2 linked regions of the Sus scrofa genome follow. The protein of the gene in region 1 purifies or fractionates together with the protein of each later gene. This does not show direct contact. Links are inferred from orthologs where the notes say so. Each region holds a gene or a part of one and is shown in the gene's direction. Other genes may lie near its edges.

The links. The genes of interacting proteins can lie anywhere in the genome.
Region 2: the proteins of RNF7 (region 1) and RAB40C purify together in Homo sapiens (co-immunoprecipitation; 4 studies listed by BioGRID and IntAct, with this or other methods). This does not show direct contact. The link is inferred for Sus scrofa from reciprocal best matches to the Homo sapiens genes RNF7 and RAB40C.

Annotation. Positions count from the first base shown.
Region 1 is NC_010455.5:82,547,327-82,551,281, forward strand, and holds the start of RNF7 (RING-box protein 2), read left to right. Parts: upstream 1-1,148; 5' UTR 1,149-1,293; coding exon 1,294-1,468; intron 1,469-3,955. UniProt on the Homo sapiens protein: Catalytic component of multiple cullin-5-RING E3 ubiquitin-protein ligase complexes (ECS complexes), which mediate the ubiquitination and subsequent proteasomal degradation of target proteins.
Region 2 is NC_010445.4:41,157,291-41,161,335, reverse strand, and holds the start of RAB40C (ras-related protein Rab-40C), read left to right. Parts: upstream 1-1,239; 5' UTR 1,240-1,428; coding exon of another isoform or gene 1,429-1,462; intron 1,463-1,502; exon of another isoform or gene 1,503-1,619; intron 1,620-2,192; 5' UTR 2,193-2,269; coding exon 2,270-2,411; intron 2,412-4,045. UniProt on the Homo sapiens protein: RAB40C small GTPase acts as substrate-recognition component of the ECS(RAB40C) E3 ubiquitin ligase complex which mediates the ubiquitination and subsequent proteasomal degradation of target proteins.

The DNA of each region.
Region 1 (3,955 bases):
TGGGAGGCTCTGAATTCCAAACCCGACACAGCAGGTGTCCACCACTAGGTGGTAGTGGTGATCAGGCATCTTCGTGGGCTCTCCATACCACAGCTTTCTTATTTAAATAGAGATGTTATCTGCTTTGCTTGGGAAAACATAATAATATGACCCCGGGCTAGATGCAGAAGAACCCTGGATTCAAAACAGTTACCTTTAGGGAATAATGGTGTGTCTTTATCTTATTTTTCTGGACCTCAACATTCCTATCAATAAAAGGAGGATGTTGGACTAGATAGAGGTTCTCAGAGTGTGGTCCCCGGGGGTTCCTGGGATCCTTTCAGGGGAAACAAGGTCAAAAGTATTTGCATAACAATATTCACCGCTATTTCTCTTCACTTTCTCCTGTGAGTATACAGTGGAGTTTTATAAAAGCTACAAGATATGTGATATCCTTGTTCTAATGATTACTTGTAATGGGTTTATTGCTTTTCCTTGCGGGGGCGGGGGGTGGGGGCACACCTGTGGCATATGGAAGTTCCCAGGCTAGGGGCTGAATCGGATACAGCTACCAGCCTACACCACAGCTCACAACAACACCGATCCACTGAGCAAGGCCAGGGATTGAACCTGCATTCTCATGTATACTAGATACTAGTCGGGTTCCTCATCGCTTAACCACAACAGGAACTCCTATGGTTATTTTTTAAGTGAATACATTAAAATTTTTTTCGTATTTCTTAAAAAAAAAGTGTGTGTTTGTGTGTACACATATTTTACAAACCGAAAGTTCTTTAATGTTCCAGTGATTCTTAAGTGTAAAGGGGTGCCAAGACCAAAAAGTTTGAGAACGGCTGAACCAGATTTCTAAAAGATAGTCATTCATTCACTCAACAAATAACTACCCCTCCTGAGGCCAGGCATTTTTCACATACCCAGGAGAAGGTGGTGATCAAGTCACGTCCTCGCTCCGATGGCGTTTTCATTTAGGAAGGGAGTACATCAATATGACAACTTGTGAGAGCCAGAAGGGTCACGAAGGCATAAAGCAGAACACCTGCTTCCTGCACCGGCAACCCTCCTGAGCGCGGCGCCCATTCTTGGCCAAAGAGTCGGAGCGGGCCGGGCCCAGGGCGCGGGGGCGGTGACGTCACTGGGACGCGCCAGCCAGTCTCGGGCGGCCTCCGTCGTAGGCCCCACGGTGGCCCGCAGCCTGCGGGCGGCGCTGTGGCCCGGCGAGGGGCCCCAGGGAGCCGCCATAGTCGCCCGCCTTCCGCAACCTAACGTCTCCGCCGCCGGCTTCGCGCCGCCGCCATGGCAGACGTGGAAGACGGCGAGGAGCCCTGCGCCCTGTCCTCTCACTCCGGTAGCTCAGGAACCAAGTCGGGAGGCGACAAGATGTTCTCTCTGAAGAAGTGGAACGCGGTGGCCATGTGGAGCTGGGACGTGGAGTGCGATACGTGCGCCATCTGCAGGGTCCAGGTGATGGGTAAGCGCTGCACTCGAGACCCTGGCTGTGCTGCGGCCTCCGCGGGCCCAGCTCCGGCCCGTGGGACACACCGAGCCTCGGAGAGACTGTTCCTGGAGGTATAGGGGCGGGGTCGCCCTGCCTGGGAGCGAAAGACTGGGGCCACGCCCGTGCTGCTGCTAGTCGGAGGGCTGCGGCCGGCGACGGGGACTGGTAGTCTGGGGAACGAAACAGGTGGAAAGCAGGGCAGTTAAAAAGGTAATTTCAGGTAGTGATGGGTGTGGTCAAGACAATAAAAGTAGGTGAGTTGATGGGAGCTGCGAGGCACCACTTTGGTTTGTGGGCCCAACCTCGCCACCCTTTTCTAAAAGCAAACTGTAGAGGTCACGGTCAAGGCCCTGAGTCAGCGGGTCGTTTTAATGCTTCTTTTCACACACCAGAGTGATGCTCTGGAGTCATCTTCCACAGTAATGACTCTTAGTCTTGTTCCGGAGAGGCGCAGGAAAGAAGTGTCCCTAGCTGTTGCCTTTCGGGATTAGCTACTGTTCTGCTGGCTTTAAAACTTGGATGATTCAAGACTGGTCAGATGGCAGTAGCTTGTCTTGAAGAAGAATGTTAAGCCCTTTATTCAGAAACATAAATTTTAATCTCATTCCTGGCCCTACGCTATCAAAGGATGCCATTTCCTGGAGAAGACAGTGTCCTGATAGGCCTTTGTGGAGAATTTTCTTTTACAAATAAGTCACTTCTTTCTATAAATTTTTTTAAAAATATTGGACCAAGTGAAACCTTTCGGGACAGCTTCATCCTGTTATATTTTATATGGTTTCTGTTCTAAGATCTCAGAACACCTTGAAAAAGAGATGCTGTTTAAATGCATCCTTATTTTTTTTAATAGGGCATTTAAAATCACTGTGAGAGCATCTTAAATGAAACCGAGGTTTCTATAGTTTGAAAGCTTTTACATCTTAAACCGAAAAATCAGAGTTTTGGAGAAAATAACTCAAAAATTGCTCTCAAATCAACTATAAGGAGTTCCCTTCGTGGCGCAGCAGAAATGAATCCGACTAGGAACCAAATCAACTATAAAAGAAAAAATAAAATCTAAAAAAAAAAAAAAAATCACTCTCCCTTCTTGAGGAATGAAAATTCAGAACTGCCAGAATCAAGAGGTTTCTTCATTTACCCTCTCTGTAGTATGTTTTCTTGTTTTTTATTCATAAAATAAGGACTCATTTTAAAAGCAGATTTACAACAATGAGATATCATATATTTATTTTTTTACTTTTAAAAGAATTTTATTTCAGACATGATCCACGTGTTTTGCATATTAGGTTTTAAAAATACCTTGTTTATTGGCCTGCAATACAGCCCCCTTACCCTACTCCTTACTTAAAAACTGAAATCATAATTTCTGCTTTGAGTGGCATTTTTGACTTATCCAAACAATTTTTGTTCTTTTATGAGAAAAAACTTTGTTAAAAATTTTATCCCCTAAGTGATTAAAAAAAGAGGTTTTTCTGAAAGGTTATTTTCTTCTTCTCCCCAGGGAAAAATTTTAAATTTGTAAATAGAAATGCAGAGTTTTAAATAATGGTTGAAATTTGGCAGCAAATAAACCTTCCTGGTCAAAGTATGGGCTCTAAATGACTTAACAGGCACATTAACTTTCTAATTATAGCAAGTATTCCGCTACTGTGGATTAATGTTGCAGATTTACAACAGCTGTACTTTGGATTCAGGAAAGTATTCTGGACTAGACCTCTATATTTTGATTATAAGGTGTTAAAATCCACTTAGTGGTCAGGTGACGGCAGAAGGAAGTTTTATAGACTTGCCAATCCTTAGGGTAGCGTCATTCTTAAAGGTGTTACTGTTATTGTACTCCTTAGAAATGTGCTGTTTTAGATATTAGGAATATCACCAAAGGAAAAATGTTTTCTTTTATCTGAAACTTTAGGAATTTTTATACATTTAGGTCAGTTGTTTTTTTTTTAAATAATTAAATCAAAGCTATAAGCATAATTCAGAGATTTTTAGATTCTACAAAGAGCCTATCTAATCCCACTTCCTTAATATTTGGAATTCAGAATTCATCTCATACATCTAAATGATTTGTTATGACTTCTTTTTTAAAAAAATTTATTGTAGTTGATTAAAAGTGTTTCAGGTGTACAGCAAAGTGATTCAAATACACACACACACACACTTTTTTTTTCAGATTCTTTTCCATTGTAGGTTATTTCAAAATTTTTATGACTTCTTGATCTAAGATTTACCTGTCCACCCATTCTGATGTAGTTAACACTTCCTTGTTTCCACTCTTCCCCACCCCCACCCCCTTCATTCTGAAAGGAGCAAATGACACAGTGAGCAAGCACTGACAAGGAAAAGGGGAATAGGTTTGCTAGTACTGTAGAGGTATAAAGAGCGAGAGCTGGAGTTCCCGTTGTGGCTCAGTGGTTAACGAATCTGACTAGGAACCATGAGGTTCGATCCCTGGCCTTG
Region 2 (4,045 bases), on another chromosome or scaffold:
CGCTGTGAACAGTCACGCACAAGCTTTGTTTTTTTTTTTTTTTCTTCTTAGGGCGATACCCACAGCATATGGAGGTTCCCAGGCTAGTGGCTGAATAGGAGCCACAGCAATGCAGGATCTGAGCCATGCCTGTGACCTACACCACAGCTCACGGCAACACCGGATCCTTAACCCACTGAGCAAGGCCAGGGATCGAACCCACAACCTCATGGATCCTAGTCGGATTCTTTTCCGCTGTGCCGCAAGGGGAACTCCTAGAGTGAAATTCTTTATTTTTTAATCCAAAAAAATTTTATGGCCACACCTGTGGCACATGGAAGTTCCTGGGCCAGGGACTGAATCTGAGCCACAGCTGTGAGCTGCAGCAGTGCGGGATCTTTCGCCCATTGTGCCAGTTTGGGGATCAAACCCATTCCTCCCCAGAGACCCAAGCAGCTGCAATCAGATTCTTAACCCCCTGTGGGAACTCCAACAGTGAAATTCATGAGCTTGTTTTTGAGAACTTCTCCCGACTAAATGAAATATGGAATTACTTACTAAGTTGTCCAACCTCCCTGCCAGAGAGCTGTCACCCTACATCCTAGGTGCCACAAGTAATGTTGCCAATCTAATGGGTGAAGAGGGTATATTTTGCTTTACTTTCTATTTTGCAGAATAAAATTGTATCTTCACAACTGTTCACACCTTTTCATAACCTATCCATTCTGTAAACAACCCAAAGTCACTTCCTCCTACAGGCTCCCCCGGACCCTCTTCCTGGGCCCTCCTGGGTGCCCCACCTGGCCTGACCCCGACTCTTCCCAGGGTGGGCGGCTCACAGCCAGTGCTGCCGTCGTCTCTGGGGCTAGAGGACGACATGCAGGCCGACCCCCTTTCTGCAGCGGCCTTGAGAGCCGCGCTGTCACCTGCAAGACTTGCCCAGGGAACGGGGCAGACGCGAGGGGCGGGGACAGAGCTGCGCTGGAGTCCCCGCCTCGCCGCCTGCAACCAAGCCTCACCTCGCTGCCCCTGCGCCCCGACCCAGGTAATTCCAAGTTCCTGCCACCGCCTCATTTCACCGTCCCTACCCTCGCGCCCTGCCTCGTCTCCCCGCCCCTCACCCGCGCCCCCACTCACCACCTTCCCCACAAGAAACCCGGCGCCCGCCCCCACCTCACCATCCCCCGGCCCCGCCCCCGGCGCGGGAACGGAAGTCCCGTCTACCCGGCCGCTCCGAGCGCCGATTGGTGGATCTTGTCTCACTGCGCCCTCGTCACGCCCCCTCCGTGGGGAGGGCGCCTTTCCGGGGGGCCGCACTGTACGCGCCCGGGTCTCTGCGGAAGCTGCGGCCGCAGCTTTCTAGGAGGTTCAGCCCTGCCATAGTCACCCGCGTCACCTCACAACGGGGACCGCCACCGTCCCGCTCAGTCCGCGGAAGTAAGGGGGTGTATGCAAACAACCTGGAGGTCCAAGCTTCTGATTGGTGAGCGTATAGGGGGCAAGATGGGCGGGCTTAGAGGGCCATGAGCGACGTGTAGGTGGTCCAGTAGCTCTGGGAGGATCGGCTGCGGTGGCCAATGGCGAAGCGGAGGGGGCGTGTTAGGGCCCAGGAGCTGCGGGGGCAGTGGGCAGGTTTGCCGGTGAGTCTCGGATGCTCTGCGGGAATCGGCGGGGGGTGGGGGGCGTAATGCTGACGGACAGGCAGGCGGATCAGAGGGTCCCGGAAAGCGAGAGGCGAGGGGCCAATGGCAACAGCGTGAAGGCGGGGCGGGGCGACTGGAGTCTTCGCAGAACTGAGTGGGAAGCGATGGAGGCGGGGCAGCTTTGATGGACGTGCTCACGGGCCAGTGGCCGCGCGGGAGGCGGCGTGCGACGTACAGCAGCAGCGTAGGGGCGGGGCAATGATGGGGAGGAACGACCCGAGGTCTCGCAGCGCTGTATGGGAAGCTGGGGGGGCGGGGGCAGGGGCGCTAGCAGTGCTGACGGATATGCGCAGCGGCCAATGGCCGCGGGAAGGGTGCGGCGGACGACCAATGGTGGCGCGCGGGGCGGGGCGGGGTGGCGGGGCTGCTCGGCGCCGTGCGGGAAGCTGCGGGGCGGCGGCGGCGGCGCTGAGGCGAGGCGAAGGGAAGCGAAGCGGGGGCGGTGGAGCAGGTGCGGGCGGAGCGGCCTTGCCGTCCGCCGGCCTCGCTCACCCGCGCCCGCGCACGCAGGTCGGTCGGAGGCCTCCGCCAGCGGGCTCCGCGGCGCCGTGGGCATGCGGGTGCGGCCCGCGCGCGCGTGAGCGAAGATGGGGACGCAGGGCAGCCCAGTCAAGAGCTACGACTACCTGCTCAAGTTCCTGCTGGTGGGCGACAGCGACGTGGGCAAGGGCGAGATCCTGGAGAGCCTGCAGGACGGCGCAGCCGAGTCTCCGTACGCCTACAGCAACGGTAAGGCCGGCCGGCGGGCCGCCGCGCGCACCTGGCTCCGCCCGGCGACCTGCCGTCCGCCTCGCGTCTCGGGCCGGGGCGGGGGAGCTGCGGCTCGAGCTTGTCGAGGCCCTTCTGGGGCCCGCGGCGTCGTGGGGGCAGAGATCTGGCCGAGGGACTCCTGAGGAAGAAGGGCTTTTTCTTTGGTCGCGGGGCCTCACCAGGTGTGCCAGGTGTGCACAGCTGGGCGTCCTCAAAGCAGGCCGTTGGCTCAAGGCATCCCTTCCTTGGGCTGGACGAAAACGCCCGATCCGGACGGGGTTAAACGTTCTTTCCACGTTTCTGGCCGTGCAGCCAAAACACACAAGAGCTACAGGTCTCTGGCACCAGTGTGAGGTCCTCTCTTTTCTCGCAGTTGACGTGGGTCCCCCGGGGGGCCGTCGGGCTCCTGGAAGGGCCGTCTTTGCGAGGAGTTTTACTCCTTGGAGTCCGGTCTTCCGCCTCCTCTGTAGCTTTGTCGCTCAGAGTCTGGTCAGTCCTGCCTGACTGCTGTGAGCCTTCGCTGCTTGCTGAATTCCTGGGCTCTGGCCGCCAGCGTGTGGCCAGTGCTTCTTGACCCTTTCTCCCCTTAGGACGCGTCAGAGTCGTCGGCTTACCTGGGCCGGCCCTGCGCCCTTCCTGCTAAGCACGGAGCGAGGGGCAGGGGTCTGGAGGGCCCAGCCCACCGGAGCGCTGGGTGGTGTTGTAGGGAGGGCGAGGAAGTGTGAGGCCCCCAAGGGTGTGAGAGGGAGGCCTTGGGGGGCTGAGTCGGTCCCTTGCCCGCCACAGTCAAGCGGTCCTCTGGAGTCAGACGGGGGGTGGGCGCCTGAGCTGCTTTCCCAGAGATGGGGATGCTTTGAAGGGGGGCTGGGCTCCATCAGGGCCTCAGCGGCTTCCCAGGACGAGGACTCCTGGGTCTGAGCTGCCTCCAGCCGGGCGCAGCGAGGCAGCTGGAGCGAGTGGCCCGGCCTCCTGTCCCTGCTCTCGGGGGCAGTGTGCTGCCGCTCTTCTCGTGACGTGTTGAGTCCCGCCCGAGGAGAAGCACGGTGGTCCAGCGGGAGGGCCAGCTGCCAGAAGTGTGCGGAAGCCCCTGGGCTGGCAGGGCGGCGAGGGTCCTGGAGGTTACGATGTGTGGCACATGCAGTCAGGGCGTCAGCTCGGAGGCTCCGGGGCCAGTGCCCTTTCTCAGGGCGAGGTGGGTGGGTCTGAGGGTACTTCATTCTGCTGCCCTGAAGGCTTCCTAACTGGAGCAGTTAGTTCTCAGCGTTCGGCGCATCTCGAATTTGCTTTGTGTTTTTGGGGAGCTTTTGATCTCTGATTCCCTTGTGGCAGATGCGTGTATCTTTTTCTTTCCTTGTTAAGAGTCAGTACATCTCCGAGCTTCTTGTGCTTGGCTTAACCTTTCGGGGTCAGTCTGGCCAGGAGCAGATGACCAGTGGCAGGGAGGTCCCTTCCCATTGAAGGGCGTGTATCCAACACCCTTCCTTGGGCCAGGCAAGTTATTTCTCGCATTGAAGTCTTGCCTCACCTGTTCCGCAGCAGGTACCTGGGACACCTGACTCTCCCCAGCCTCGTAGACACAGGAGTCGTTGCATGGCCTTTTATCGTGTCGGCAC